Linked DNA regions of Macaca fascicularis. The protein of the gene in region 4 interacts with the protein of the main gene of each other region in a biochemical or structural test. Links are inferred from orthologs where the notes say so. Each region holds a gene or a part of one and is shown on either strand. Other genes may lie near its edges. The genes, in order: NPM1, E2F1, SERTAD1, CDKN2A, CDK4, CCND2 and TRIP12.

Region 1 (4,153 bases), on a different chromosome or scaffold from region 4:
CTTGAGCCCGGGAGGCGGAGGTTGCATTGAACCGAGATCACGCCACTGCACTTCAGCCTGGACAACACTCAACACTGCAAGACTCTCTCCACAAAAAAAAAAAAAGAAAAAAAAACATAACAAATTTAGTGACTCAAAGCTTTATGTGACACAGGCGCTCTCAGAAAGGAAGAGTTAAATTATAACATATCCATATTATGCGTTAGTATGTGTCAAAACTAACGCATATTATGGATATGTTATAATTTAACTGTTCATTCCTCTTTTGATGGATGCTGAAATCGTCTGTATAATTTTCTTGTAAGAAATAATGCCTTGGGGTGGGGGGGTCTTCCTTTCTGAGGCTATCATTTATATTCTTCACTTCTTAAATTTGATATGTTGAGGCTAAAAAAAAAATTATGGGTCTTCAGAACGCCCCAATGCCCGGGGCTGCTGGGGTACCTCGGAGTTTGTCAACGTGTAGCTTAAAATGTTAATTCCCATACTCGCTACCAAATATTCGATTAAGGCTTCTGTAGTTCTTATAAGTCACTCGCTTTCTTTCAGGAGGAATCCTAAAGATTAAGAGCGGCAAGAAGTCAAGAGTCTGCCCACCCTCCGAGCTCTCTTAGGGCGATGTCCTTGCTCATTTGGAGACTGATTCAGTCCCCTTTAGGCCCCCAAATTACATAAAGATGAGGACTTTGGAGATGTTTTCTCAGGAAGGGCAGAACTGTAAAAACACAGTTCCGTAAGCCTGGCCGGTAGCTACATCTTTCCTTCCTAACAAAGAATAAGCCGCAATTCACTCTCCGGCACCTGAACTTTGGGGTAACGATTAACTGCGATCCCAAGCCTTCAGGCAAGTAAAAAAAAATCCTGAAATGATTACGCCTGTTTGGAGGTTTGCAAGGCACTAGGGTATGGGGGAAGTGAATCGAGGTGCTCTCCGGCTCATTCCCAGCCAGCTAACAACCCGCCATATCTAACACAGCTAAGAGCTGCCGACGCCATTTTGCAGGGTGGGCTACGCAGACTCTTGGCGGGAGGCCGGAGCGCTTGAGCGGGAGAGGACGTGGAAGTGTTGGAGGTGGGGAGCGCGCGTTACGACTGGAAAGCACGCGTGCGCACAGGCGACAGCGGTGGAGGGGTGGGGCCAGTGTACGAGTGCGCGTGCTCGGTGGGAGCCCGCGGAGTACCTGGAAGGAGGTGGGGGGCGAGGTAGAAAGGAGTGTGGTTGAAGAGCGCTTGCGCAGGAGAGCTACGGTACGGGGGTGGGAAGGCTCCGGAGCACGCGCGCGGAGGCGGGACTTGAGAAGCGCTCGCGAGATCTTCAGGGGCTATATATAAGCGCGGGGAGCTTGCGTCCTTTCCCTGGTGTGATTCCGTCCTGCGCGGCTGTTCTCTGGAGCAGCGTTGGTTTATCTCCGTCCGCCTTCTCTCCCACCTAAGTGCGTGCCGCCACCTGATGGAAGATTCGATGGACATGGACATGAGCCCCCTGAGGCCCCAGAACTATCTTTTCGGTAACTGCAGGGGGGAGCTGGAGCGAGGCCGAGCGGGGCCTGGTGGCGGTGAAGGCGGGGGTGAGGGGAGGGAATCCGGCTGCAGCAGGGTCTGGTGGAGACCGCCAGACCGGCTGGAGGCCTGAGCGGGTGGGAAGAGCTGCCCGAGCCCTGGACCTGGTGGGATTGGAGCCGCGGGGGGAGCCGGAGGCGTGAAGGGGGAGGAGACGAGCGGCCTGAAGCGCCTGGAGCGTGAGCAGTCCGAGGCCCAGGGCCTGAGGTGTAGCGGAACTGGCCGCCTGGAAGTTCGGCCGTTGCCGGGGATACGCCGCGGAGCCCCAGGCGTGGTTTATTTTCTAACGGAGTTCGTTCGTAGGCTTCTGATCCCAGGCCCCGGGTTGGTGGTCCCGGAGGCTGGGTTTACCGGGAAGCATGGGCCTGCTTGTTGGAGAGGGTAGATGCACAGCCTGGCGTTGTTCTGACCTGAGTCTGGAGCTGCCGGACCCAGACTTCACTCGCGTGCTTCGGCCAGTTACTGGGGGAGGGGAGGCGCGGCGCGGCGTGAGGAGGCCGCAACCGCTGGGAGCACGTGGTTGCCACGTGGTTGGGGGAGGGAGGGGGGTGTGGGCACTACATCCGGGGCTCACCAGCATGTTGTTACTCCAGATCAAGGGATGCTGTGGCTCAGTTGAAGTGGGAAATGTTAAGAGGCTGGTAACACTAGGATTCTGGAGGCCTTTGTTCAGTGCTTACAGCATCTACTGTGATGGCAGCTCTTTTTTTTTGAGCCCCTTTTCTGTCTCACTGCAGTAGCTGGAGCTAGCCCCACTTTGCAGATGACGGCACTGGTGCCCAGAGATTAACTCACTTAACGAAGGTTGTACTTATAGGCAAAGAGGCTAAAACTAAACCAAGACCCTTGACTCGTAGCTGCTGCTTCGTGAATATTAATGAGGCTTCGTTTTAGGGGGACGTCCTCGCATGCCGCCATTTGTGCAGCATTGACCAAACCGCTTATTTAAATACAAGAAACACGTAGAGTGTTCGATTTGAGTCAGATCAAGACCTAAAACTATTCGCAGAATTTTGGGACCACCACCACCTTCGACTTGCGGTAGCCCTGCCCCAAAAAGGAGAGTCCCACTTGGGTTTTTAATGTCAGTAGGTTTAATTACAGAAGCCTAATCTTTATACTATTCAGACTTTGAAGTAAGTGCGAATCCTACCGTGAATTTTATCTTGTTCATTATCCGTGCTGAGATTTGTTAATTAAACCTCTTCACATTTAAGCATGTATATGTATTGGTAACAGTTAGATGGTAGTTAATGGAATTATTTAAAATTTTTATTCTGACAGTATTTTAAAGAATTTTGCCCATGCATGGATGGAGTGGCAGTAGACACATGTATTTAAAACATTAAGGCTTTAATTCCTAGCTGTTTTGGATAACTGAGAATTCTGATAAATTTATATCAGTACTTTTTGATAACTGTTGGAAACAACCCTCCTTGTCTTAAACATAGTTTCTGAATATAGTTTCAGGCGTATGTCACTTTCTGTTGCTTTAAAGAGTAGAGTGTTGACCCCTGTAGCAAGCTTTGGTTCTTTTACCTTTGTCGTTTTTCTTTTGTAATAGTAAGCTATTCATGTTTGTAACCGTTCTCATTTCGAACTTTCCATTTGGGAATTTAGGTGGGTAAATCAGCTGTTTTAAATAGTGGGAAACTTAACATTGGACATTACATTTGGTTTCAGGTAATTGTTTTAGGTTCAGATTTACTAAACCGTTGAGCTCGTTTCTGTATGCAGAATAACAGTGCCTATCAGCGTAGTTAGAGATGAAATATGGTATGAGGAGAAGATAGAATTGTAGACTTCTATGGGTGTTACTTGTTTGTAGAGGTTTCTGTTCAAGAAATCTAGGAATTGATCATTCTGCTTTGCCCTCTGGTAGCTAAAATTGTGAAAACTAGTTCAAAAGTTAGACCTGACCTTTTTGGTTACCCACACTTAAGTTTCAGTGTTATTTTTCTCCTTGTTAGAGTTGCTTTTTTCTTCATTTACAGGTTGTGAACTAAAGGCCGACAAAGATTATCACTTTAAGGTGGATAATGATGAAAATGAGCACCAGTTATCTTTAAGAACGGTACTTAAACTTTCAAAATAAACTACTTAACCCTACTTGATTTCAGCCTTTTAGTTTCTATTCATGTGGCTTGAGACTTTTCCTTTGCTGACTGCTTATAAAATACTATTTCTTACACCTGGGTATTGTGTGTACCTCACTGTCTGTACATCTTTGATGAAGAACTTGGCATCTATACTCATTTGGTAACCATGTAAAATCCAGTCACATTGTTAAACTTGCCTTATTTTCTTCAGTTGGATTATAAAGCCCTTGTAAAAGGCATCGATAATCTTACATGTCTACCAGAGACTAGCTTTTCTCTCAACTTAGAAGTTGCTCAATAAATAAGTTAGGTGATCTATATTGTGTGTATGCATATTTATGCATTTGTTAAATTTTCTGAATATGAGAAATTGATTTGCCAAGATCACAAAACCTGAGGATAACATTGCACAGATTTGTTTTCTGAGGTAACAGTGATAGGTTTATACTTGTATTTTTAAAAAATCATAGTCATGTGCCTCATTGCAACTGTTG
Region 2 (4,155 bases), on a different chromosome or scaffold from region 4:
GCCTGGGCAACATGGCAAGACCCTATCTCTACTAAAAATACAAAAATTAGCTGGGCGTGGTGGTACACGCCTGTAATCCCAGCTACTTGGGAGGCTGAGGCACAGAATAGCTTGAACCTGGGAGGCGGAGGTTGCAGTGAGCCACAATCACGCCACTTCACTCCAGCCTAGGTAACAGAATGAGACCCTGTCTCCGGAAAAAAAAAAAAAAAAAAGTTAAGTTTTCCATAGTAAACACGTATTATAGTTATAATACTTGAGTTTGTGGAAGTGGACAGGCAGGGCCAAGAGGAATGGCCAAATCGCACAGAGCGTTATATACAGGTGTTCAACGAATGCCTGCTGGTATAGAAGCTAAGCCTGTAGCTTATTTCAAGGACTGCCCCAGACAAATGCCAGTGCAGAGAGGCCAAAAGCCGAACCTGTGGACTTTCTGGACTTCAGCTCCAGAATGGTGCTAGCCTCCTGGCCCTTACGTATTCTGGGAGCCGGGGCTCCTTGTCTCTGTGCCTAGTGCCTCCTGGGCATTCACTAATTCAACAACCGTTGAATGAATGCAGTGCCCAAGCCAATGAGCCTGCCCCTGACAGGTGGCGCGGAGGGCATTTTTCTTTGCCCCTGTCCCTCCCTTTGATCCTAGAACCCATAATCCTGTTCAGTTACTTGAGGACAAGACCCTCGGGTTCTGTTAGGTTTCTGCAGACCTGAGCCTGCTATATGCTTGTCACACAACTGAATGGAAGATGCTTGCCCAGGTCCCAAGCGGTACCCACAGGGACAGGTCCCTGGAGTACAGGAGACAGGCCACCTGGTCCACCCCTGGTACAAACCCCTCCCACCCACTCATTAAGAGGAAGGGCCCCTAAAAGCCCTTCCTGCCCTTTCTCCAACCTTTATCAGCATCTCTAGGAAGCAAGGCGTCCCAGAGGTCAACCTCACAGAAAATGCAGACTGGTCTCCCCACTCAAGAGCAGAATGACATGGGAAGATTCTAACATCTCTAGGCCTCAGCTTCCCAATCTGTAAAAAGGGACTGCTGCTGATAGGGTTAAATGAGTTAATTAGGTAAAGTGCTTGGCACAGAGCCTGGCACACAAGACATCCTCAAAACAATGGTGGCTGCTATTGTTATTATTATTAGCATTGTGGTGATTCCGGAAGGCAGCATTGGGCATGGGGCCAAGGGGGTTGGGGGAGCCTCCTCAGGATGCCTCAGGGACCAGCTGCCACCCACACCCCCATCAGCAGTTAGGCAGCTTCTACCTCCTTGTCCTGAGTCCTGCCTCACCCCTCCCACTTGCTTCAAGCTCCCTGCTGAGACCCCATCCTGCCTGGCCAGGCCCCGCCTGCACACCAGAGCCCCACCTTCACCCATAGGCTGCGCCAGTCAAACTGGTCTCCACACCCTGCCCTGCGCCCCACAGGTCCCAGCTCTACACCTCCAATCCCTTCTCCCACTGTAATTCAGCCGCCTCTTCTGGGCCCCCCAGTCTGAACTGGTCTTGAGCTCAGCGATCAGGGAGGACTTTATTAAAGGATCTCCCTGGGACATTTTCTCTCCTGGCACTGGGGGCCTCTCCAGCTCCCAGAGGCCCAGCCCACCTAGTCCTTCTACAGAGACTCAGGGGTCGGCCTGCCTGATTAATGAGGTTCCATGGCAACCAGGGCCTGGGAGGGTGGAGGGTGGCAGATGGAAGGACAGGCAGAGGGAGGGGACCTGCAGCTGGTCCAGCTGCCCCGCCCCTGCAGAGAAGGCCTCCCAGCCAGGAGGGCTGTCCCCAGAGGCCTGGCCAGCCAGGCCTGCACCTGGCAGTCAGCATCGAGGCAGAAGGAGGGTCTCCTCAATGGCTCACCAACGGTTAGGCCCCAGGACCTTCCTCCGCCCCGCCTTCACTTCCCCTAGCAGCTGTGCTCACTACCGAGATGCAAATTCTGAGCTGAAGCCAGCAGGCCTCAGTTCAAATCCCAGCCCCACCACCTGCAGCCGTATGACCAGGGGCAAGTCACTTCCCCTCTCTGGGCCTCAGTTCTTCCTCCGTCAGATGGGCACAGTGACAACACAGCTCACAGCGGGGTTGTGAGTTTTAGCTGACTTGAAGTCGGCCGAAGGCCTGGCATGCAGTAAACGCCAGTTGAATACACGTGGGTTATTATTATCACTGAGTCTGACGCTGGGGAGCCTCCAGTGAGGAAGCTGAGGCCCAGAGCACAGAGGAGCAAACAGGGACCGGCCCGAGGTCACCCCGCACCCCAGGGCGGGGCCCGCAGGCCCAACCCCGGCTCTGCACCGCCCAGCCTGGGCGCCTCAGTCAACCCCTCCCCCGCCCCCTGCCGCCTCCAGGCCAAACACGGCGCCCTCCCGGGTCTGCGCGGGGGGCACAGGAGGCGCTGTCGGCGCGTCGTCCCTGGGGTCCGTACCGGCGGGCGGCCGAGCGCGGGGCGCGGCGCACTGGGTGTGGGCCGGGGCGCCTGCGGTGTGGCGAAGAGCAGCAGGTCAGGGTCGCAGGGGCCGGCGGCTGGCGCCGCGGGGCCGGTGGGAGCCGGCGGGGCGCTGGCGTCCTGCGCGGCAGAGATGATGACGATCTGCGAGGAGTCGAGCAGCCGCAGCGCGCCGGCCCCGAGCAGGGCCTCCAGCGCCGGCGCGCATGGGCCGCCCGCAGGGGCCCCGGCCAAGGCCATGACGCTCACGGCCCGCGCGGCCCAGGTGACAGGCGGCGGCGGCGGCGCGGGCCCATGGCGGCAGGCCCCGGCGAGGGCTCGATCCCGCTCCGCCCCCGGCCGCCGCTGCCTGCAAAGTCCCGGCCACTTTTACGCGCCAAATCCTTTTTGCCGCGAAAGAGCCACGAGCCGCCGAGCGCCGCCACAATTGGCTGCCCGGGCCGTGACGAGAACGACGGCGGCGGCTCCTATTGGCTTTAGCGCGCCGGACCCGGCGGCGAGGGGCGGGATGGGGCGGCGGCGCGGGGCGGTACGGCCAATGACGGGGCGGGGCGCGCGCAGGCTTTGTCCGGATGGTGCCAGGCGCGGTCTGACTCCCCGCCCCCAGCCCGGGCGTCCCCTGTTGGAGGCGTGGGGACACGGGAACACGGGCCCCGCCCTGCCCCGCCCCGCCCTGCCCCGCCCCGATGCTCCCGCATCCCACTGCCCTTTCTATAGTGCAGGTTCAGAACAGAGCCTCTGTTCTGCACGTGACCCTCAACCTGTAGCCTTCCACAGCCTCAGCTTAGATTTCCAGAGACTGCCCCCTTTTTTTTTCGGGATCATCAGTTCCACAGCCCAGCCATCAGCCACCTCTTCCATCCTCAACTTGCCTCACCCATGACATTATCCTAATCCTGCACCCGGCCCTATCCCGCTCACCCAGAGCCCAAGCTGAAGAGCGGTGGCTAGAAATGGCGGGGGGACGTCAAGCTTTCCTGCAAGTCCCATTTTAGCCAAAATCTCCAACAGCCAACGTAAAGCGTCGGCCTGAACTCATTCATTCCCTCACTCATTCAACAAACGTTTGAAGAGCCTGCTCTGTGCCTCATCCTTAAATCTGCCCCATCCTTAACTCGTGGCCCTGAGGAGCTCACAGTCTAGTAGACGGGAACAGAAAGGTAACAAACGTTTACAATAACATGAAGCGTCGTCTGGGCGCGGTGGTTCACGCCTGGAATCCCTGTAATCAGAGGGCGGGGTGGATCGCTTGAGTCCAGGAGTTTGAGACCAGCCTGAGCAACATGGTGAAAACCCGTCTCTACAAAAAATACAAAAATTAGCCAGGCATGGTGGCGCGTGCCTGTAGTCCCAGCTACTTGGGAGGCTGAGCTGGGAGGATTGCTTGAGCCCGAGAAGTCGAGTCTGCAGTGAGCTATGATCATGCTACTGCACTCCAGCTTGGGTGACAGAGCGAGATCCTGTCGCAAAAACAAAACACATCACTTCTGGGGAGCCCTCCCAAGGATTTACTCGCTTCCTCTATTGCCCACTGCTGCCTCTGTTCCAATGCTGACCACACACTCCTTTTCTCCATCTGCCTCCCCTACCAATCTAGGAGCTCAGTAGCGACTCCTCCCATCACTGGTCTGACCGAGAGCAGGCGCTGAGAAAGGTTATGAAAGAAACAGACGCTAAGCCAGAGGCTGCTTAGACTGTGACAAGGAGACTATGGTT
Region 3 (4,239 bases), on a different chromosome or scaffold from region 4:
TGCCTGGCCAACAACTATCAATTAAATCTAGGTGAGAGAGTATTCAGGTGTGAGCCACTGCATCCAGCCAAGGGAGGAGTATTATACCCTGTCTACCTCTAGCCCCATCCTGCATGTCTATTCATCTTGAACTAAAAGCTTGTCTTATTACAACAGCTATTACTGCTAACAAGGAAACGTGTTGCTAACCAGGCACGGTGGCATGTGCCTGTAGTCCCACCTGCTTGGGGGTCTGAGGCAGGAGGATGGCTTGAACCCTGGAGGTCTAGGCTGTAGTGAGTTGAGATGGCACCCCTACACTCCAACCTGGGTGACAGAGCGAGACCCTGTCTCAAAAACAAAATAAAATAAAATAAAAAGTAAAGAAAAAAAAAAAAAGGCAGCTGGGCGCGGCATCTCAGGCCTCTAATCCCAGTACTCTGAGAGGGCGGATTACCTTAGGTGAGGAATTTGAGATCTGCCTGGCCAACGAGGTGAAAACCCACCTCTACTAAAAATACAAAAATTAGCCGGGTATGGTGGCACACCCCTGTATTCCCAGCTACTCAGGAGGCTGAGGCAGGATGATTGCTTGAACCTGGGAGGCGGAGGTTACAGTGAACTGAGATCGTGCCACTGCACTCCAGCCTGGGCGACGGAGTGAGAATCTGTCTTAAATAAATAAATAAATAAATAAATAAAATGAAAAAAACACAAAACACATTGCACCCCACTCTGAGGATTTTGCATGAATTGTTTTATTTAATCCTTAAAACAATCCTCTAAACTAGGGGCTATTTTCTCTCATGTTAAAGGAGAAAAAGACCCGAAGGGATTAAAACACTTGCCCCAGGTCACACAGCTGCTTAGGGAATGGAGCCCGGGATGTGATTCCGCACTCCCACCTCACTGCCGCCCTTAACCACAATTAAGTCCAACTGTCCAGCATTGCTTGAGTGTGGTATTGTGTTCTTATAGATACGATCCTATTTAAACTTTCTTGTCAAGAGGTATGCAAGACGATCCCCATTTAACTTTGTGTAGCTTGAAGAGGTTGATCATTTTTCCAAGGTCACGCATCGAGTGAGTGGGGAATCAGGAGTCGGAATTTGAACCCGGGCATATCTGTAGTGTAGACCACTGTCGGGGGTGGATGTGTAAGAAGCTTAATTGCCGGGTTTGGCAGGTGCATGGGTAGTTGTCAGGGGCTCGTACTTTGAGAGGCAAAAGCTCCCACTCGCCACCGTCCCCCAGAGTAAAAAGCCACCTCTTTCCACCCCTCACTCGCGCAGCTGCCCGGGCATGCGCCCAGAAGCCCCTCCTTCAGAATCCGCCCTTTACAGGCTCCGCCCATCACCGTAGAGGGCCAATCCCTGGGGCGGAGGGCGGGGCAGCCACGAGAGTGGGCGGTCGCTAAGGGTAGTTAGGAGTCTGGAGTCGTGAGCCGAAGTCAGAACTGCGTCTCGCGACCCAGGCGCCGGTTGCTGGAGGAGAGCGAGCAAGCGATGCTGCCGCTGCCGTTTCCTGATTGGTTGTGGGTGGCTACCTCTTCGTTCTGATTGGCCGCTAGTGAGCAGGGTATGTAAATGAAGGGGCCTGGGAAGAAAAGGGGTACCAACGGCCGGGTCCTTCACGGAGTTCGATCCCTGGGTCCGACAGGTGCCCGCCGGGGCTGCCCGGGATCGAGACGCGCGGGCCTCTACGTGCTGTCTGCCCCGGCCGGGCCGGGTGAATCACGCCGCAGTCCGAGAAGGGGGCGGAGGCGCCGGCTCCTTGGCTCCGGCTGCGTGACTCACCCGCCCCCGCCGCCGCCGCTTCGGGAGGAGCCGCCTCCACTGCCGGAAGCGAGCGGAGGCCGGGCGCAGAGAACAGCCCGCCTAGGGTCCTGGCTCGCACGGCGCCGGGAGGCCTGCAGGAATCACAGCCGGGAAGGGGGGCAGTAGAAGGGGTTCTGGGGTCAGAGGGGCCAGAATCCCCAGGGGAAAGCCGGCCTGGGCACCGCCAGGGGGCGCCGGGACTCGGGGGCGGAGTCGGGGGTGGGGGCGGAATTCCTGCGGTTCCGGACTCCACGGACTGCGGGGAAGGGGACGAAGACCCAGTTTTGAGTAGTGTGGTGGGCCACTCTTAAAATCTTGCTAGGCAGGGTCCCGGAACTGGACTCTGTTCAGTCTTCCTGGCCCAAAAAAGTAGGTAGCGCCAGGGGTCCAAAACTCCATCCAGCCCTACCCCCGCCACTCCAAGAAAAGAGTGGACCCTCAAACTTATCTCAGTGACTGACCCCGGTGCCGATCACGATTTCTCGACAAGCCCTGTCTATTCTGCCTCCCAAAGAAATCCTGACTCGACCGACTTCCTTCCATACCCACTACCAGCTCCTGCTCCAGGCCATCACTATCGTCAGTCCCAAACCAGTACAGCCTACTAGTGGGTCTCAGATCCCCCCTCTTTTTGCCCCCTACAGTATTCCTCGAAGCAGCCATGGGGGGGATCTTCCGGAAACCTAATCAGCTCACACCCCCATTCCCTCCGTGCTCAAATTCCTTTAATGACTGCCCACCACACTCAGGATAAAATCCAAACTCCCTACTAATGCATATGTGGTTTTCTGTGACCTGGCTTGTGCCCATTCCCCCAGCCTCTGGGCTTTTCTTTGCCTTTTTTTGTTGTTCCCTCCTCCCGGAATGCTTTTCCCAGGGTCTCCCATGGCCGACTTCTCTGGCCTGAGGGCTCCATTCAAATGTCACCTCCTTACAGGAGCCTTCTCTGATCATCTAAAAGGTCTGCAGGACCTTTTAGTGTCTTCCTGTAATTCTCCGTACATTTCCTGTGTTTGCTTATTTATTTACTGTTTGAAACGTCATAGTAGACAATAAGTGTTAAACTATGTGAAACTAGTTTAGTATTTATAATATAACTTACTTAGATATAATTATTTATAACGTTATTATAATATATGAAACAGCTGCTTTTGTAGGGGAAAAAGTTGAATGGTCATTCCACATGGTTCACTGAAGAAATAATAATGTTATCATTAAGTGTACTTATTGGCAGGGCATGGCAGCTCACACTTATAATCCCAGTACTTTGGGAGGCTGAGGCGGGAGGATGGCTTAAGGCAAAGAGTTTGAGACCACCCTGGGTAACATAGTAAGACCTTGTCTCTACAAAAAATAAAAGGGGGGAAAAAAAAGAGTGTTTATTGATTGAGGGGGGAGGATCACTTCAGGCCAGGGGGTTTGAGACCAGCCTGGGCAATATAGTGAGACCCCATCTCTTTTTTCAGATTAAAAAGTCTATAAATATACTTAAATACAAAATTTAAAATTTAAGGCCGGGCGCGGTGGCTCATGCCTGTAATCCCAGCACTTTGTGAGGCCGAGATGGGTGGATCATGAGGTCAGGAGATCGAGACCATCCTGGCTAACATGGTGAAACCCCATCTTTACTAAAAATACAAAAATTAGCCGGGCGTGGTGGCGGGCGCCTATAGTCCCAGCTATGTGGGAGGCTGAGGCAGGAGAATGGCGTGAACCCGGGAGGCAGAGCTTGCAGTGAGTGGAGATCGCACCACTGCACTCCAGCCTGGGCAACAGAGAGAGAGACTGTCTCAAAAAAAAAAAAAAAAATTTTTTTTTAAAGTCTATAGGCTGGGTGTGGTGGCTCACACCTGTAATCCCAGCACTTTGGGAGCCAGAGGTGGGCGGATTACTTAAGGTCCAGGAGGTCGAGACCAGGCTGGCCAACATGGTGAAACCCCACCCCTACTAAAAATATAAAAATTAGCCAGATATAGTGGCGTGCGCCTGCAATCCTAGCTTTTGGGGAGGCTGAGGCACGAGAAACACTTGAACCCGTGAGGCAGAGGTTGCAATGAGCTGAGATCACGGCATTGCACTCCAGCCTGAGCAACAGAACGAGACTCTATCTCAAAATAATAATAATAATAATCTATAAATATACATATGCAATTAAATAAAAATTGTCTATATCTTTAAAGTTCCCTAGGAAAAGCTAGACACAGAGAGGTTAAGTGACTTGCCCAAGATCCTACCTGTAGCAACTGTCAGATCCAGGCTTTGAACTGAATATTTGTTTTCTATAACTGACTATAACTCCATAACTCCCTGCCCTCTGCAGATGCTGAGCAAGGGTCTGAAGCGGAAACGGGAGGAGGAGGAGGAGAAGGAACCTCTGGCAGTCGACGCCTGGTGGCTGGATCCTGGCCACGCATCAGTGGCACAGGCACCCCCAGCTGTGGCC
Region 4 (4,079 bases):
CCACCGCGTCCGGCTCCAAAGCATTTTCTTTCTATGCCTCAAAACAAGAGTGCAAGCCAATCCTCAAAACGGATAATTCAAGAGCTAACAGGTATTAGTTTAGGATGTGTGGCAGTGTTCTTAACTCTTATATGTATTAATATACAACAATTCATTTAAACTCACAACACCCCTGTAAAGCAGGGGGTACCCATATTCCCTTCTCCCTTTATAACTAAGAAAAATGCAAAGTATTTTCAGTAGGAAAGAGAAATGTGAGGAGTGTGTAGGAGACAGGACAATGTGTAAAGCGGGTCTTTGGATCACTGTGCAACTCTGCCTCTAGAACACTGAGCACTTTTTCTGGTCTAGGAATTATGACTTTGAGAATGTAGTCCGTCCTTCCAATGACTCCATCTCCATTTTCCTATCTGCCTACAGGCAGAAATCTCCCCCGTATTAAATAAACCTCATCTTTTCAGAGTCTGCTGTTATACCAGGCAATGTACACGTCTGAGAAACCCTTGCCCCAGACAGCCATTTTACACGTAGGAGGGGAAGGGGTGGAGAAGGAGAGGGTAGGCCAACTCTCCAAAAGGAATCCTTTGAACTAGGATTTCTGACTTAGTGAACCCCGCGCTCTCGAAAATCAAGGGTTGAGGGGGTAGGGGGACACTTTCTAGTCGTACAGGTGATTTCGATTCTCGGTGGGGCTCTCACAACTAGGAAGGAACAGTTTTGCTTTTTCTTATGATTAAAAGAAGAAGCTATACTTTCCCTATGACACCAAACACCCCGATTCAATTTGGCAGTTAGGAAGGTTGTACCGCGCAGGAAGGAAACGGGGCGGGGGGCGGGGGGATTTCTTTTTTTCTTTTTAACTGAGTGAACGCACTCGAACGCGCCTTTGCTGGCAGGCGGGGGAGCGCGGCTGGGAGCAGGGAGGCCGGAGGGCGGTGTTGGGGGCAGGTGAGGAGGAGGAGCCCAGTCCTCCTTCCTTGCCAACGCTGGCTCTGGCGGGGGCTGCTTCCGGCTGGTGCCCCCGGGGGAGGCCCACCCTGGGGCGACTTCAGGGGTGCCACATTCTCTACGTGCTCGGAGTTAATAGCACCTCCTCCAAGCACTCGCGAACGGCGCCCCCCTGCCTGGAAAGATACCGCGATCCCTCCAGAGGAGTTGAGGGGGACAGAGGCCGAGGGGGCTCTTCCGCCAGCACCGGAGGAACAAAGAGGAGGGGCTGGCTGGTCACCAGAGGGTGGGGCGGCCGCGTGCACTTGGCCGCTGCGGAGAGTGGGAGAGCAGGGAGCGAGCAGCCGGGAGCAGCATGGAGCCTTCGGCGGACTGGCTGGCCACGGCTGCGGCCCGGGGTCGGGTAGAGGAGGTGCGGGCGCTGCTCGAGGCGGGGGCGCTGCCCAACGCACCGAATAGTTACGGTCGGAGGCCGATCCAGGTGGGTGGAGGGTCTGCAGCGGGAGCAGGGGATGGCGGGCGACTCTGGAGGACGAAGTTTGCAGGGGAGTCGGAATCAGGTAGCGCTTTGAGTCTGGAAAAAAGGGCTTCCTGGGGAGTTTTCAGAAGGGGTTTGTAATCACAGACCTCCTGCTGGCGAAGCCCTGGGTGCTTGCGAAGCCAAGGAAGGAATGAGGAGGCACGCGCGTGCCGATCTCTCGAATGCTGTGAAGATCTGAAGGGGGGAACATATTTGTATTAGATGGAAGTATGCTCTATCAGATACAAAACTTACGAAGGTTTGAGATAAAACGGGAGTCTTAAAGAAATGTAAGATGTGCTGGGACTACTTAGCCCCCAATTCACAGATGCCTGGATGGAGTTTATCTTTCTTACTAGTAGGGATTATCAGTGGAAATCTGTGCTGTATGTTGGAATAAATATCGAATATAAATTTCTGATCGAAATTATTCAGAAGCTGCCGGGCGCAGTGCCTCACGCCTTATAATCCCATCACTTTGGGAGCTCAAGGAGCGGGGGGATCACCTAAGAGTTCGAGACCAGCCTGGCCAACAGGTGAAACCCCGCCTCTACTAAAAATACAAAACTTAGCCGGGGGGTGGTGGCAGGCGCCTGTAATCCCAGCTACTCGGGAGGTTGAGGCAGGAGAATCGCTTGAACCCGGGAGGCTGAGGTTGCAGTGAACAGCGAGAGGGAGCCACTTCACTCCAGCCTGGGTGACAGAGTGAGACTGTCGAAAGAAAGAAAGAGAGGGAGATTAAAAAAAAAAAAGCATTCAGAAGCAACTACATATTGTGTTTATTTTTAACTGAGTAGGGCAAATAAATACATGTTTGCTGTAGGAACTTAGGAAATAATGAGCTACATTCATGTGATCGTGCCAGAAGTAATATGTAGTCACCATTTTGGGAATATCTGCTAATATTTTTACTGTTTTGCTATCTTTAGCTTACTTGATAATAGTTTATTTTGTGATAGAGTTTTCAATTCCTCATTTTTGAACAGTGGTGTTTCTCCTCTCCCTACTCCGGTTTTGTGAGGGAGTTAGGGGATGATTTAAAAGTAATTAATGCATGGGTAACTTAGCATCTCTAAAATTTTGCCAACAGCTTGGACCCGGGAATTTGGCTTTGTAGTCCTAAAACATCTTAGAAGAGACCTTATTTGTTTAAAAACAAAAAGGAAAAAGAAAAGTGGATAGTTTTGACAATTTTTAATGGGGAAGGGAGAAGAACATGTAGAAAAGGGGAAGTGTTGTTGGCTTAGAATCCTAACTACACTGGTGTTTAATATAGGAACACTTATTTGTATAATATTTTTAAATGCTAAATTCATATCAATTTATTATCAAATGGGTTTAAGCATCCTACACATTTTAATTCAATGAATTCATTTTCTTTTTGCTTTGGATTTATATCATGATTTAAATATTTACATATGGGTTACTTTTTAGGTTTTTCATTCTATGAAATATAATAAAAACCTTTAAGGCTAGTTTTATGACCAAGACAAAGAGAACTTCAGTGAACACACGGAACAATAAATATGCTGCAACATTTTGTCTTTCTTTTTGTAGCTGCAATTTGGTTTGCTTATACTTTCTCTTTGTCTCTTTGAAAACTAAGTCAGTTTCACTTTCTCAGGACAGCATTTAATAACCATAATATAATTTAGTATAATTCCTTGATTTAGGCAAATTATGCAATTTGTGTTTAGTATGAAATGTACCTAAAAATAAGTAATTCCTCTTTAACACAACCATCCTCAAGCTAATATAACAAATAACAGTTATCCTAAAATAAATTGTTTATTTCCACCATGCAACACTCAAATTTTAAGGTTGCTATGACTGGAGACAGTATTTTAAAATTCCTCTCTGGAAATGGCTTTGTTTCCAAGATGATTTAGGAACCAAAAAGGTGACCATCTCTTGTTTAATGAACTCTCAAATCATAAACCTGGGAAGCCTTTTCGTTTCCTATTGCTGCTGTTACAAATTACCACAAATGTGTTAGCTAAAACAAACAAAATTATTATTTTACAGTACAGTTCTAGAGATCAGAAGTCAAAAATGGGTCCACTTTGGGAAACTCTAAGGGACAATCTGTTTCCTTGTCTTTTCCAGCTTCTAGTGACCATCAAATTCCTTGGCTCATATTCCCTGTATTTTCTCTGTGGCCTGTGCTTCCATTCTTTTATCTTCTCTCTGACTGTGACCCTCTAATAAAAACACTTGGGGTTCTATTGAGCCCACCCTGAAAATTCTGGATAATCTCCCTCAAGACCATTACTTAAATCACATCTGCAAAGCCTCTTTTGCTACATAAGTTAATAAATTAACAGTTTCTGAGGATCAGGACATAGACATTTGTGGGGGGGGACCTTATTCAACCTACCACAGGAAGGAATTTTAGGGCTAGTCTAGCATTCTTATTTTATACTTGAAGAAATTGAATTTTTGGAATTGGAGAGCATTATGCTAAATGAAATAAGCCAAACACAGAAAGACAAATATCACATGTTCTCACTTATCTGTGAAATATAAAACAAATACATTCTTAGCAGTAAAGAGTAGAATGGTGGTTGCTGGAGCTGGGGAGGGGGGCAGTGGGAGGAATGGGGAGTGGTAA
Region 5 (4,022 bases), on a different chromosome or scaffold from region 4:
AAAGTGTGTTCTGGACACCGCTAAGTGCTAAGAAAGAGGCACTAGGGAAAAAGAGGGAAGCACAATGACTCCAAATGAGCAGTCACAAGGTTTACAGAAGGAGACATGTCATTTTCATTCATTGTGGTGGTCTGGAGGGTGCAGGGGGTGTGGTGGTAACTTTCTTGCACATGTACACTCCTGTATCCATCTTATATATTACATGTAATAAATAATATATACATACATATATACATAGAAGTATATATACACATATAAAAATATCACATAATCATAGAACCGTCCTACTGGGGAAAAAAAAAACTTAAAGGTCAAGTATTCCTGTCTCCTGCTCATTAATAACTTCTCTGCCAGATGGCCTCAGGTCTTTGCATTAACACTCCCAGGGAGATTTGGAAGTTGAGAAAAGAGGGGGCATTACCTTGTCACTGAACCTGTTGGATTACTGTATTAATCTGCCTTCTGTCCGTCCTTTAATCGTAGTTTTGCCCTCAAATGGGCATTGTTTACTCCCTATTTTAGAAGACCCCATTGTTGGCTACATCTTTCTAGATAGTCGTACCACTACTTTAAAGGGCCAGTGACAGACACCAGAAACAAAACAAAATAAAAACCCACATACACACTGGAAGCAAGCACTCAGTAAAATGTTGTAGAATTAATGAATGAATCAATGACACAAATGAGAGTATGTTTTATCATGGTGGAGCGAAAAGGTGACAGCATCACCTCTGGTACCCCAACTCCCATTCCCTCCCCAATGTAGACAGGCTGAAAGACCGGTAGTGAGACTGGAGTTCAGCCTTCAGACCGGTAGTGAGACAATCCTTCAGCCGGGAGTTGGGCTCTGGGTGGCCTAGGTTGCCATGGCACCGCCTCGGGCTCCACCCTCTCTTGTCCCCTTACCGCGCCCCCCCGCGGCGGGGGTTGTGGCAGCCAGTCATGTGCCCGCCGCGTAACCACACCTCTGCTCCTCAGAGCAATGTCAAGCGGTCACGTGTGATAGCAACAGATCACGTGGCTACCATCGCCCCTCCGCCCCCTTACACTCTTCGCCCTCCTCCCCGTCAAAGCGGCTCCTGGCCACCCCTCCGCGCATGGGTGGCAGTCACGTGCCCAGAACGTCCGGCGTTCGCCCCGCCCTCCCAGTTTCCGCGCGCCTCTTTGGCAGCTGGTCACATGGTGAGGGTGGGGGTGAGGGGGCCTCTCTAGCTTGCGGCCTGTGTCTATGGTCGGGCCCTCTGCGTCCAGCTGCCCCGGACCGAGCTTGGGTGTATGGGGCCGTAGGAACCAGCTCCGGGGCCCCGATAACGGGCCGCCCCCGCAGCACCCCGGCCTGGCGTGAGGTAAGTGCAGTCCCTTCCCGGGAATGAGAACCAGTGCCCGCCCCCCTCACAGTTTTCCACGCGTTCGTTTCTCGAGCTGGTTATGGAGGGGTCGCTCAAGGGCGGGAAGTGGGGCCTTTGTGGTCATGGGAAAGTATAATTTTAGGGACTGAGGTGTAGGATCTTTGATGCAAGGCATGTGTCATGTGTGATCTTTGTGCAGGGCGCGATTGTCCCAAAGGAAAATGCGTTTTTTATTGCAGGGCCTCACGTGGCTGGAGGGGTTGGTATTGAGTCATTGTGTTATCTCTGGGGCCGGCCCCAAGGAAGGCTGCGAGCGGGGGATGGGATGCTAGTGTTGCTCTTTGTGCTTTTTTTTGGGAGTCCTTTTGTTGCTGCAGGCTCATACCATGCTAATTCTGTAAGGGACTTTTGGTGATAGGAGTCTGTGATTGTAGGGTCGCCCTTGATCTGAGAATGGCTACCTCTCGATATGAGCCAGTGGCTGAAATTGGTGTCGGTGCCTATGGGACAGTGTACAAGGCCCGTGATCCCCACAGTGGCCACTTTGTGGCCCTCAAGAGTGTGAGAGTCCCCAATGGAGGAGGAGCTGGAGGAGGCCTTCCCATCAGCACAGTTCGGGAGGTGGCCTTACTGAGGCGACTGGAGGCTTTTGAACATCCCAATGTAGTCCGGTGAGAAGGTGGTGACGAGGGGAGTGGGGAGTAAAGGGAAAAGACAGCCTATAGGTGGGGTGTGGTGATCTGTAGAGAAGTGGGGACCCTGAGGAAATAATGAGAGGCCATGTTGGGTTAAAGGGGATTGAAAAGTGAGCATTTACTCTGGCCAGGCTGATGGACGTCTGTGCCACATCCCGAACTGACCGGGAGATCAAGGTAACCCTGGTGTTTGAGCATGTAGACCAAGACCTAAGGACGTATCTGGACAAAGCACCCCCACCAGGCTTGCCAGCCGAGACCATCAAGGTGAGTGGGCTTGGTAGGCATTGAGAGGTGGATTGGGACCTTTGTAGTAAAACCTCCTGGGATTTCAGGTATGGTGCCTAGTTTCCAGTGCATCTGTACCTCCCCCTTCTAAACTAGGATTTGATGCGCCAGTTTCTAAGAGGCCTAGATTTCCTTCATGCAAATTGCATCGTTCACCGAGATCTGAAGCCAGAGAACATTCTGGTGACAAGTGGTGGAACAGTCAAGCTGGCTGACTTTGGCCTGGCCAGAATCTACAGCTACCAGATGGCACTTACACCCGTGGTCAGTAGAAAGATGGTACCAAAATGGGTTCTGGTTGGGAGTAGGAGAGTGATTGCCTGTAGCAATTGAGAAGTCATGTGCTTCATGTGTTCAGTCAAGCAAGTTGTGTTTTGTGGTAACCCATGGAGTCCCCATCCATTCTTCCTATTCTCTTTAGGTTGTTACACTCTGGTACCGAGCTCCCGAAGTTCTTCTGCAGTCCACATATGCAACACCTGTGGACATGTGGAGTGTTGGCTGTATCTTTGCAGAGATGTTTCGTCGAAAGTATGGGACCCACATACCCTGGACCACCTTGAATTCCCCAAATTGCTTGTTCATAAACCACGTCCACACCCTGCCCATTCTTTCTTTTTCTTTTTCTTTTTCTTTTTTTTTTTTTTTTTTGAGACCAGGGCTTGCTTTGTTGCTCAGGCTGGATTGCAATGGCATGATCACAGCTCACTGCAGTGTCAACCTCCTGGGCTCAAGTGATCCTCCCATCTCAGCCTCCCAAGTAGCTGACACTCCATGCCCAGCTAGTTTTTTAATATTTCTGTAGAGGGGGGGGGTCTCAGTATATTGCCCAGGCTGGTCTTGAACTCTTGTACTCAAGCAGTCCTCCCACCGCTATCTCCCAAAGTGCTGGGATTACAAGCGTGAACTACTGGACCTGGCCCCATTCTTTTACTTGCATACTACTGACTACTTTGCCCATAGCAGAAAGCTCTGAAATGCTCTAGAATTAGGAACTTCATATCCCTTTATTCTCTTTTATTTATTTATTTATTTTTGCAATAAGGTTTCACTCTGTCACCCAGGCTGGAGTGCAATGGCCCAATTACAGCTCACTGTAGCCTCTATCTCCTGGGCTCAAGCAATTCTCCCGTCTCAGCCTCCTGAGTAGCAGAAACTATAGGTGCATGCCACCATGACTGGCTTTTTTTTTTTTTTTTGAGACGGAGTCTCGCCTTGTCGCCAGGCTGGAGTGCAGTGGTGCGATCTCAGCTCACTGCAACCTCCGCCTCCCAGGTTCAAGTGATTCTCCTGACTCAGCCTCCCAAGTAGCTGGGACTACAGGTGCGTGCCACCACGTCCAGCTAATTTTTGTATTTTTAGTAGAGACGGGGTTTCACCATGTTGGCCAGGATGGTCTCAATCTCTTGACCTCATGATCCGCCTGCCTCAGCCTCCTAACGTGCTGGGATTACAGGCGTGAGCCACTGTGCCCAGCAATTTTTTTTTTTTTTTTTTTTTAAGAGACAAGGTCTTGCTTGCCCAGGCTGATCTGGAACTCCTGGGCTCAAGCAGTCCTCTCACCTCAGCATCCCAAAGTGCTGGAATTATCGACCTTTATTCCCTGTGCTTTCTATTTTGGGCCACTAAGCAGTAACCATTCAACTAAGATATCTTTGAAAATGACTGCTACCTTATGTCCCTTCTCACC
Region 6 (3,500 bases), on a different chromosome or scaffold from region 4:
CAGGAACGTCTGACAGGTTTTAGCAATTCCTGGAGGCCAGTGCCTGACTCCGTTTCAGCCTCGTTCAGGGTGGCACGGAGACTCCTGCCGCTGGTTCACGTCTGTCATGCTCAGCGCTCGCCCCAGAACCGGACACACGATCTTGACACACACTTCACCAGTCTTGACTGAAGGCAATTCTATACCTCATTTCAAATAAATCTGAGGGATTCTTTCAGGTTCCAGGACCAATTTATTGTTACACATAATCATGATCATTTATCGAGCTCTACTTAGCACTGCACGTATATCAGTATCATCTCAGTTGCCCTTTACTCTGAGTGTTTTGTGGGGAAACTCTGAGATAAGAAAAGTTAAATAACGTGAGGGCCACCTGCAAGCATGGTAGGTGGGCAGCAAATACCACCCTTCCTCATCTCCTTGTTCCAGGTGACATTTTGTCTCTGCCTTTGACCTCTTAGTCTGTGGTTGTTCCTAATCTTAATTTTCACTGAAAGCTGTAGTCTGAAATGTGGAATAGACGAGCGATAGGAAAGGAACATTTGAGGGGTATGGAAATTTTGTTCCTTAGTGGTTAGTTGCAGCTTTATTTCATTTATTTATATGTTTGTTTTTAAAGATGGGGAACTAGCTATGTTGTCCAGGCTGGTGTCGCACTGGTTTCAACTTCCCGCCTCGGCCTCCCAGAGTGCTGGGATGACAGGCGGGAGCCCATATGCCTGGCCTGCTGTATTTTAGATCTTTGGGAAATAAAGAGAATGCTTTTGGACTTGGCAAAATAGAAACCTCTGGGTGGGGAGAACTGCACAGTGAAAGAAGCAAAAGGGAAGTTTGTATTAAACTATGAAAAGACACCGGGAGGTTCAATTTAACATATTTTGCTTATGTATGTGCTTCTTAAGAGAGTGCACAGAGGCACTTTTGCAGAGGAGAGAGGCCAGAAAATGCCTGTTAGAAGCAAGTCTACTGTTCGTACCCTCTTACTAACACCAGCAATGGTCCCTGTCTAGTGATACCGGTGACTTGTCATTGCATCGCATGTCACCTGCCTAAGGGAAGCTCCTGCCTGGGGCAAACACACTGTCCATTTCCCCTACAATATAGACGGATAACTAAAGCAATGCTGCATATTCTTGCTTATTCCCAGATTGGATGGCTCAAGGGTCCAGAATGTTGTAGACATTTTGCATTATATCTTTATGAGAGTTAAGGAAATGGTAAAGAAGCAGAAAAAATTGGGGATTTTTTTTTTTAAGTCTTTACAGTGAGGCACGGTGGCTCACGCCTGTAATCCCAGCACTTTGGGAGGCCGAGGCGGGCAGATCATAAGGTCAGGAGTTCGAGACCAGCCTGGCCAATATGGTGAAACCCCATCTGTACTAAAAATACAAAAATTAGCCAGGCATGGTGGCAGGCGTCTATAGTCCCAGCTACTTGGGAGACTGAGGCAGGAGAATCGCTTGAACCCGGGAGGCAGAGGTTGCAGTGAGCTGAGAACGCGCCACTGCACTCCAGCCTGGGGGACAAGAGTGAGAAAATGTATTTACAGTTTATGTGAGTGTCAGTACGTTGGTTCGTTGGCTTCCTTCTTATCTAGTTCTCAGGGGCTGAGTTTGCTAATGTCATAGCACCTCTAGTAGCCTTCCCCTTTTCTAGTAGCCACTTCCCAGCTTCCCCAGGCAGAAAGCATCTGGTCGGCCCCTTGATTACCAGGCATCCGTAAGTGGACCGTCATTTAGGCCAGTGCTTCTCAGAATTCCAATCACCTGGGCTCCACTAAAATGCAGGTTCTGATGAGCTCGACCTGGATTGACTGAGATCCTGCGGTTCCAGCGAGCTCGCAGGTAATGCTGACACTGCCAGCCCACGGACCCGACCTAGAGTAGTGAGGTTCCTTGGCACTTTAAGAACACCCCTCCTTTACTTCACATTTATTTCAACTGGGAACTAGCATAGACTTACGCAAGCTAAATTATGCATGTTTTCTTGGGAGGATGCTCTGTGTCCTGTTTCTCCTGCTAACAGCTCTGGTCTGGACCATTGTTCTAGGATTGTCTCAAAGCTTGCCAGGAGCAGATTGAGGCGGTGCTCCTCAACAGCCTGCAGCAGTACCGTCAGGACCAGCGCGACGGATCCAAGTCGGAGGATGAACTGGACCAAGCCAGCACCCCTACAGATGTGCGGGATATCGACCTGTGAGGATGCCAGTTGGGCCGAAAGAGAGAGACGCGTCCATAATCTGCTCTCTCCTTCTTTCTGGTTATGTTTTTGTTATTTGTGTTTTAGGATGAAACGTAAAAAAAAATTCTGCCCCCACCTAGATCATATTTAAAGATCTTTTAGAAGTGAGAGAAAAAAGTCCTATAAAAACGGAATAATAAAGAGCATTTGGTGCCTATTTGAAGTACAGCATAAGGGAATCCCTTGTATATGCGAACAGTTATTGTTTGATTATGTAAAAGTAATAGTAAAATGCTTACAGGAAAACCTGCAGAGTAGTTAGAGAATATGTATGCCTGCAATATGGGAACAAATTAGTGGAGACTTTTTTTTCATGTTATGAGCTAGCACATACACCCCCTTGTAGTATAATTTCAAGGAACTGTGTACGCCATTTATGGCATGATTAGATTGCAAAGCAATGAACTCAAGAAGGAATTGAAATAAGGAGGGACATGATGGGGAAGGAGTACAAAACAATCTCTCAACATGATTGAACCATTTGGGGTGGAGAAGCGCCTTTGCTCTCAGCCACCTGTTACTAAGTCAGGAGTGTGGTTGGATCTCTACATTAATGTCCTCTTGCTGTCTACAGTAGCTGCTACCTAAAAAAGATGTTTTATTTTGCCAGTTGGACACAGGTGATTGGCTCCTGGGTTTCATGTTCTGTGACATCCCGCTTCTTCCAAATGCAGTTCATTGCAGACACCACCATATTGCTGCCTAATGGGGAAATGTAGCTATGGGCCATCACCAAAACTCACATGAAACTGAGGCAGATGGAGACCAAGGGTGGGATCCAGAATGGAATCCTTTCTGTTATTGTATTTTAAAGGGTAATGTGGCCTTGGCATTTCTTCTTAGAAAAAAACGAATTTTTGGTGCTGATTGGCATGTCTGGTTCACAGTTTAGCATTGTTATAAACCATTCCATTCGAAAAGCACTTTGAAAAATTGTTCCCGAGCGATAGATGGGATGGTTTATGCAAGTCATGCTGAATACTCCTCCCCTCTTCTCTTTTGCCCCCTCCCTTCCTGCCCCCAGTCTGGGTTACTCTTCGCTTGTGGTATCTGCCATTCTTTGGTACACAGTTCTGGTGCTCCTCCCAGGACTCGAGAGACGCCCCTTCCTGCTGACATTCCCATCACAACATTCCTCAGAAAAGCCTGTAAACTACAATCTGTTACCATTCTGATGGCACAGAAGCATCTTAATTCCCATCTCTATACTTCTCCTTTGGACATGGAAAGAAAAGTTATTGCTGGTGCAAAGATAGATG
Region 7 (4,130 bases), on a different chromosome or scaffold from region 4:
GTCAGGATCATAAATCTTAAAGCTGGCCAGGCGCGGTGGCTCAAGTCTATAATCCCAGCACTTTGTGAGGCCGAGGCTGCTGGATCACCTGATGTCAGTAGTTGGAGACCAGCCTGGCCAACATGGCAAAACCCCGTCTCTACTAAAAACACACAAAAAATTGGACAGGCGTGGTGGTCGGCGCCTGTAATCCCAGCACTTTGGGAGGCTGAGGCCGGTGGATCACTGGAGGTCAGGAGTTTGAGACCAGCCTGGCCAACATGGCAAAACCCTGTCTCTACTAAAAACACAAAAATTAGCTGGGTGTGGTGGCACACGCCTGTAATTCTGTGCTGGCACAAGCCAGCTACTCAGGAGGCTGAGGCAGGAGAATCGCTTGAACCCAGGAGGCAGAGGTTGCAGTGAGCTGAGTTTGCGCCACTGCACTCCAGCCAGGGCAACAGAGGGAGACTCCCTCTTGATAAATAAATAAACAAATAAATCTTAAAGCCAATGGAAAAATCAATAATCCGTTTAAAAAAGGTATGAAGCCGGGAGCGGTGGCTCATGCCTGTAATCCCAGCACTGTGGGAGGCCGAGGCAGGCGGATCACGAGGTCAAGAGATCGAGACCATCCTGGCCAGCATGGTGAAACAAGGTCGCAGTGAGCTGAGATCGCGCCACTGCACTCCAGCCTGGCGACAGAGCGAGACTCGGTCTCAAAAAAAAAAAAAAATGTACAAAAAAGGATGACTTTCAGTATTTCATAAATCACCAAATGAGCAAAAACCCCTAAAAACAGTTTAATTAAAAATTTGAGGCTGACTCTGGGCCCACTGCCTACGAATTAGCCCTGCTCCGCAAGGAGCAGTACTGTTTTTTAAAAAAATTTTTTTGGACAGTCTAATATTACATTTGTAATATTTCTAAATCTTAAAAAAATATATTAACATTTATATTTTAAAAGATGCTTTTAAAAATATAAAAAATTAACTCATTACCTATTTTGTTTAAGGGCTCCTGGGAAAATCGAGGGAATGATCAATATGCACACCAAAACAAATATATACAAACTTCTAAATTTCATTTTATAGGAATAGAATAGTATCTATTGCAAGCGCAGGGTGCATGAATAACTCAGTGACAGGCATAAGCTCAGCCAGGATTAGAAAACGTCTTCCCAATGGAGGCCCCGCTCAAGTTGAGAATTTCATGGACACAGTAAATCATCCAAAAGCCCACCTTCAATAACCAAAGTAGGCATAAAAATAGGCCGATGGTTACTTTGGAGATAATATAATCCTCGGTCTTATTGTTGTGGAGCAGATGTCATTATGGGTGGGGCTGAAGCGCAGAGCTGCTGAAACATTTTTATACCACCACCCGCACACTTTCAATGGGATAGAAGGGACTCAAAAAGGTAAGAGAAGAGCTCCCAATCGTCAATTGCTACTAGAAATAACTAACTTTTGATGTGGCCATGGCACGCGTAAAGGCCACAAAGAGATTTATAAAATTCTCCATGATTAATTCCTATCCTGGAAAAGAGGCAATCTCCTTTTCCCCTCCCTAGCCCGCTCCTCCTTGGGACACTTGGTTGAGTCTTTCTTTCCCTCCTTCTCACGCTGAGGTGAGGCCGCACGCAAGCCTGGGACGCCCGTTTTCCTCTTCGCGCGGAGGGAACTCTACGGGTAGGAAGCCGGGGTGGCGGGAAAGGAGCGCGCGGCACCGCGGGGAGGCAGAGAAGGCTTGCCAGGGACTAGCCGGGCTCGGGGAGAGCAGGGACACGCGGGCCGCCGGACCGAGGAGGCCGAGGTGACGAGGAAAATCTCCCGGCGCGGAGCCGGGACCGGGCGCTTCCGGCGGGCTACGGCTGCTCTCGGCCTAGCACAGCCTGGGTCCCGGGCCCCAACCGGGCCAGGTAGGGAGTTAGGAGAGAGGGTAAACCGGGGCTCGCACTTGCCTGAGACCGGGTGACCAGTAACTGGTAATAGTCTTTGCTGGGCGCCGGGCCTTGTCCTACAGTTTCAAACAGAGTCTCCGGCAGCCTCGACGCCATCTTGGGACGCCACCGCCGTCGCTAAGACAACCAGGAAGGGGCGGGGCTTGGTCGGGGTCAAGGGGCCAAAACCCTAGTTTAAATTGAACCACGCTTATGAGCTGGCAGAAGGATTTCTAACTTGGGGCGATTCTCCCCTTCTCCAAGGGTCTCAGGGAACCCTGATCCGTGAAATTTCCAGCTCCAGGTCCCGGGTGACCCGAAGGGGAATTAGTTCCTGCTACCACGGAGGGGAGGGGGTGATCCCGGCGGAGGGATACCAAGTGGAGCTCCACAGTCCCCTTCCTGGTCCCTCGAAGGGATCGGGCGGAGATCGGAGGCTGCTGGGAGAGTCGAGCCGGGCGGTAGGGGAGGGAGGGGCGATGTGATGGGCCGCCAGTAGGCAGCGGGGCCGGTCCCGCGGACGAGCCCGTCAACCAGAGCCCGAGGGCAAAGTAGTTCCCCGAGGGTGTCAGAGCGGGCGGGGAGGGAGGCGGCACGGGCGGAGGCGCACGCCGAGCGCGGTGCTGCGGCTCAGCTGATAATTGAAGGAACCCGGAGCCGCCGCTGCCGCCGCCGCTGGGGGGGGTGGGGGGAGCTAGTGGAAGTTACTGCCGCGCCACCGAGTCCGGACCGGAGACTTTGGGGCCTAACTAGGTAATTGGGGCGCAGCTCCGGGCGGCGGGGGCAGGCCTGGGGGGAGGGGGCCAGCTGAGGGTTTGGGGGGGCGAGGGGAGGAGCTGGAACAGAAAGTCCCAGGAAGCCCGGTTGTGTCATCGCCGCGATTCGGCCCCCGCTTGGCCTGCTCCCGGCGCCGGCGGCGGCGGAGCCGCGGAAGGACCGGGCCGGGGGTGGACGGGAGAGACGCTCGAGGGCCGCCGCGGCCGGAGGGACCGGGGCCCGGCGGGAGGCAGGGGTCTCTGGGTCCCTCCTCCGGCTCCCCGCAATGAGAAGGGCCCTTCAGAGAACCGGGGTAAGGCTTGCGGGTGTTGGGGAGCTCGGCGGGGGTCGAGAGGGGCCGGAAGTGGGCTTTGGAGCTTGGAGGGTGTCTGGGAAGAGAGAAAGTGGGGGGCCGGAAGTGCAGGTGGGGGGTGTGAAGACGGCAAGGGTTCCCCGGAAATGGGACGAGGGGCCCGGAAATTGGGAAAGGGGAGGCTCCGGGTCTGTGGACGGCCCGGAAATGGAAACTAGGGAGCAGCTCGAGTGACAACAGTTGTGGGAAGCGAGGGTCAGAGGAGGGAGAGGCCGGAGTGACTTTAGACCGCAGTAAGGGGTTTCCTGCCCAGGGGGACGGCGAGGGACGGTTGAGGGAGGGCGAGCCCGGAGACGGGGTCTGCGCGGGGCAGTTTTTTAAGCCGTGGGAAGTTGAGGCTGAGGGAGGATGATGACGAGGGGGGCATGCAGGGAGGCCTAAAGAAGCCAAGAAACTTGACTGAGAGGAATAGAGTATCCTTTTAAATAGATCAGAATGGAAATTGGTGGTAGGTGGGTTTAACTAGGACTTGGGGGAGGGAGGTGGGCCAATTGTCACCCCAATCGTATTAGCATTCAGAGCGAGTCAGGCGATTAATTTATTTATATGTGGATTACATAAAACCTATTACAACGTTTGTCCATCAGTGCAGCCCCTCTCCTTCCTTCTCCATAGTGAGTGGGTTTTCTAGTACAGGAACAAGTTGGAGGGGAGTTCGAATAACGAAGGTAGTAAAACCTCAAATCCTGTCTTCCTCAGCGTCTTTCCCTTCCTCAGAATAAGAAATCCTTCGTTTCTTAGACGGAAAAATACGGAAAAACATAAAAGCACATGTCAATGGGGGGAAATCACACGTTTGAACTGCTGGTGGGGGACAGGAGAGAATTGGTTACCTTACGTGGTGAGGAGAGAACGGAAGGGGCAGCTTCCAAACCCTTAAGACAGATCTGTTTGTTTTTTTGATAATGCTGTTTTACTTTGTCTGGGGGAGGTTTAGCCTAAGCATCGAGTCTGGTGGTGGGCATAGTTTAATTGCTTCGTTAGTTAACTCGGGGAGGGAATGTGTCTGTGTGTAAAGGTTGGGCCGGTGCGGGGGGGCGGGGGGGCGGGTACGGTTAATAGCGCAGTGAATCCGTTCTA

The links.
Region 1: the proteins of CDKN2A (region 4) and NPM1 form a complex in vitro, tested with the Homo sapiens proteins (3 studies listed by BioGRID). The link is inferred for Macaca fascicularis from reciprocal best matches to the Homo sapiens genes CDKN2A and NPM1.
Region 2: the proteins of CDKN2A (region 4) and E2F1 form a complex in vitro, tested with the Homo sapiens proteins (2 studies listed by BioGRID). The link is inferred for Macaca fascicularis from reciprocal best matches to the Homo sapiens genes CDKN2A and E2F1.
Region 3: the proteins of CDKN2A (region 4) and SERTAD1 form a complex in vitro, tested with the Homo sapiens proteins (2 studies listed by BioGRID). The link is inferred for Macaca fascicularis from reciprocal best matches to the Homo sapiens genes CDKN2A and SERTAD1.
Region 5: the proteins of CDKN2A (region 4) and CDK4 form a complex in vitro, tested with the Homo sapiens proteins (12 studies listed by BioGRID and IntAct, with this or other methods). The link is inferred for Macaca fascicularis from reciprocal best matches to the Homo sapiens genes CDKN2A and CDK4.
Region 6: the proteins of CDKN2A (region 4) and CCND2 form a complex in vitro, tested with the Homo sapiens proteins (2 studies listed by BioGRID). The link is inferred for Macaca fascicularis from reciprocal best matches to the Homo sapiens genes CDKN2A and CCND2.
Region 7: the proteins of CDKN2A (region 4) and TRIP12 form a complex in vitro, tested with the Homo sapiens proteins (2 studies listed by BioGRID). The link is inferred for Macaca fascicularis from reciprocal best matches to the Homo sapiens genes CDKN2A and TRIP12.

What each region holds. Positions count from the first base shown.
Region 1 is NC_088380.1:178,182,340-178,186,492, forward strand, and holds the start of NPM1 (nucleophosmin), read left to right. Parts: upstream 1-1,353; 5' UTR 1,354-1,450; coding exon 1,451-1,508; intron 1,509-3,554; coding exon 3,555-3,634; intron 3,635-4,153. UniProt on the Homo sapiens protein: Involved in diverse cellular processes such as ribosome biogenesis, centrosome duplication, protein chaperoning, histone assembly, cell proliferation, and regulation of tumor suppressors p53/TP53 and ARF.
Region 2 is NC_088384.1:89,710,102-89,714,256, forward strand, and holds the start of E2F1 (transcription factor E2F1), read right to left. Parts: upstream 2,801-4,155; 5' UTR 2,680-2,800; coding exon 2,419-2,679; intron 1-2,418. UniProt on the Homo sapiens protein: Transcription activator that binds DNA cooperatively with DP proteins through the E2 recognition site, 5'-TTTC[CG]CGC-3' found in the promoter region of a number of genes whose products are involved in cell cycle regulation or in DNA replication.
Region 3 is NC_088393.1:47,526,844-47,531,082, reverse strand, and holds the start of SERTAD1 (SERTA domain-containing protein 1), read left to right. Parts: upstream 1-1,439; 5' UTR 1,440-1,557; intron 1,558-4,116; coding exon 4,117-4,239. UniProt on the Homo sapiens protein: Acts at E2F-responsive promoters as coregulator to integrate signals provided by PHD- and/or bromodomain-containing transcription factors. Stimulates E2F1/TFDP1 transcriptional activity.
Region 4 is NC_088389.1:76,950,524-76,954,602, forward strand, and holds the start of CDKN2A (cyclin-dependent kinase inhibitor 2A), read left to right. Parts: upstream 1-1,279; 5' UTR 1,280-1,303; coding exon 1,304-1,429; intron 1,430-4,079. UniProt on the Homo sapiens protein: Acts as a negative regulator of the proliferation of normal cells by interacting strongly with CDK4 and CDK6. This inhibits their ability to interact with cyclins D and to phosphorylate the retinoblastoma protein.
Region 5 is NC_088385.1:64,568,384-64,572,405, reverse strand, and holds the start of CDK4 (cyclin-dependent kinase 4), read left to right. Parts: upstream 1-1,222; 5' UTR 1,223-1,346; intron 1,347-1,783; 5' UTR 1,784-1,802; coding exon 1,803-2,020; intron 2,021-2,175; coding exon 2,176-2,311; intron 2,312-2,428; coding exon 2,429-2,596; intron 2,597-2,753; coding exon 2,754-2,863; intron 2,864-4,022.
Region 6 is NC_088385.1:5,164,640-5,168,139, forward strand, and holds part of CCND2 (G1/S-specific cyclin-D2), read left to right. Parts: intron 1-2,049; coding exon 2,050-2,199; 3' UTR 2,200-3,500. UniProt on the Homo sapiens protein: Regulatory component of the cyclin D2-CDK4 (DC) complex that phosphorylates and inhibits members of the retinoblastoma (RB) protein family including RB1 and regulates the cell-cycle during G(1)/S transition.
Region 7 is NC_088386.1:125,855,031-125,859,160, reverse strand, and holds the start of TRIP12 (E3 ubiquitin-protein ligase TRIP12), read left to right. Parts: upstream 1-1,330; 5' UTR 1,331-1,399; intron 1,400-1,582; exon of another isoform or gene 1,583-1,670; intron 1,671-1,942; coding exon of another isoform or gene 1,943-2,038; exon of another isoform or gene 2,039-2,049; intron 2,050-2,553; exon of another isoform or gene 2,554-2,674; intron 2,675-3,184; exon of another isoform or gene 3,185-3,283; intron 3,284-4,130. Other genes in the region: FBXO36 (F-box only protein 36), read right to left, coding at 1,943-2,038. UniProt on the Homo sapiens protein: E3 ubiquitin-protein ligase involved in ubiquitin fusion degradation (UFD) pathway and regulation of DNA repair.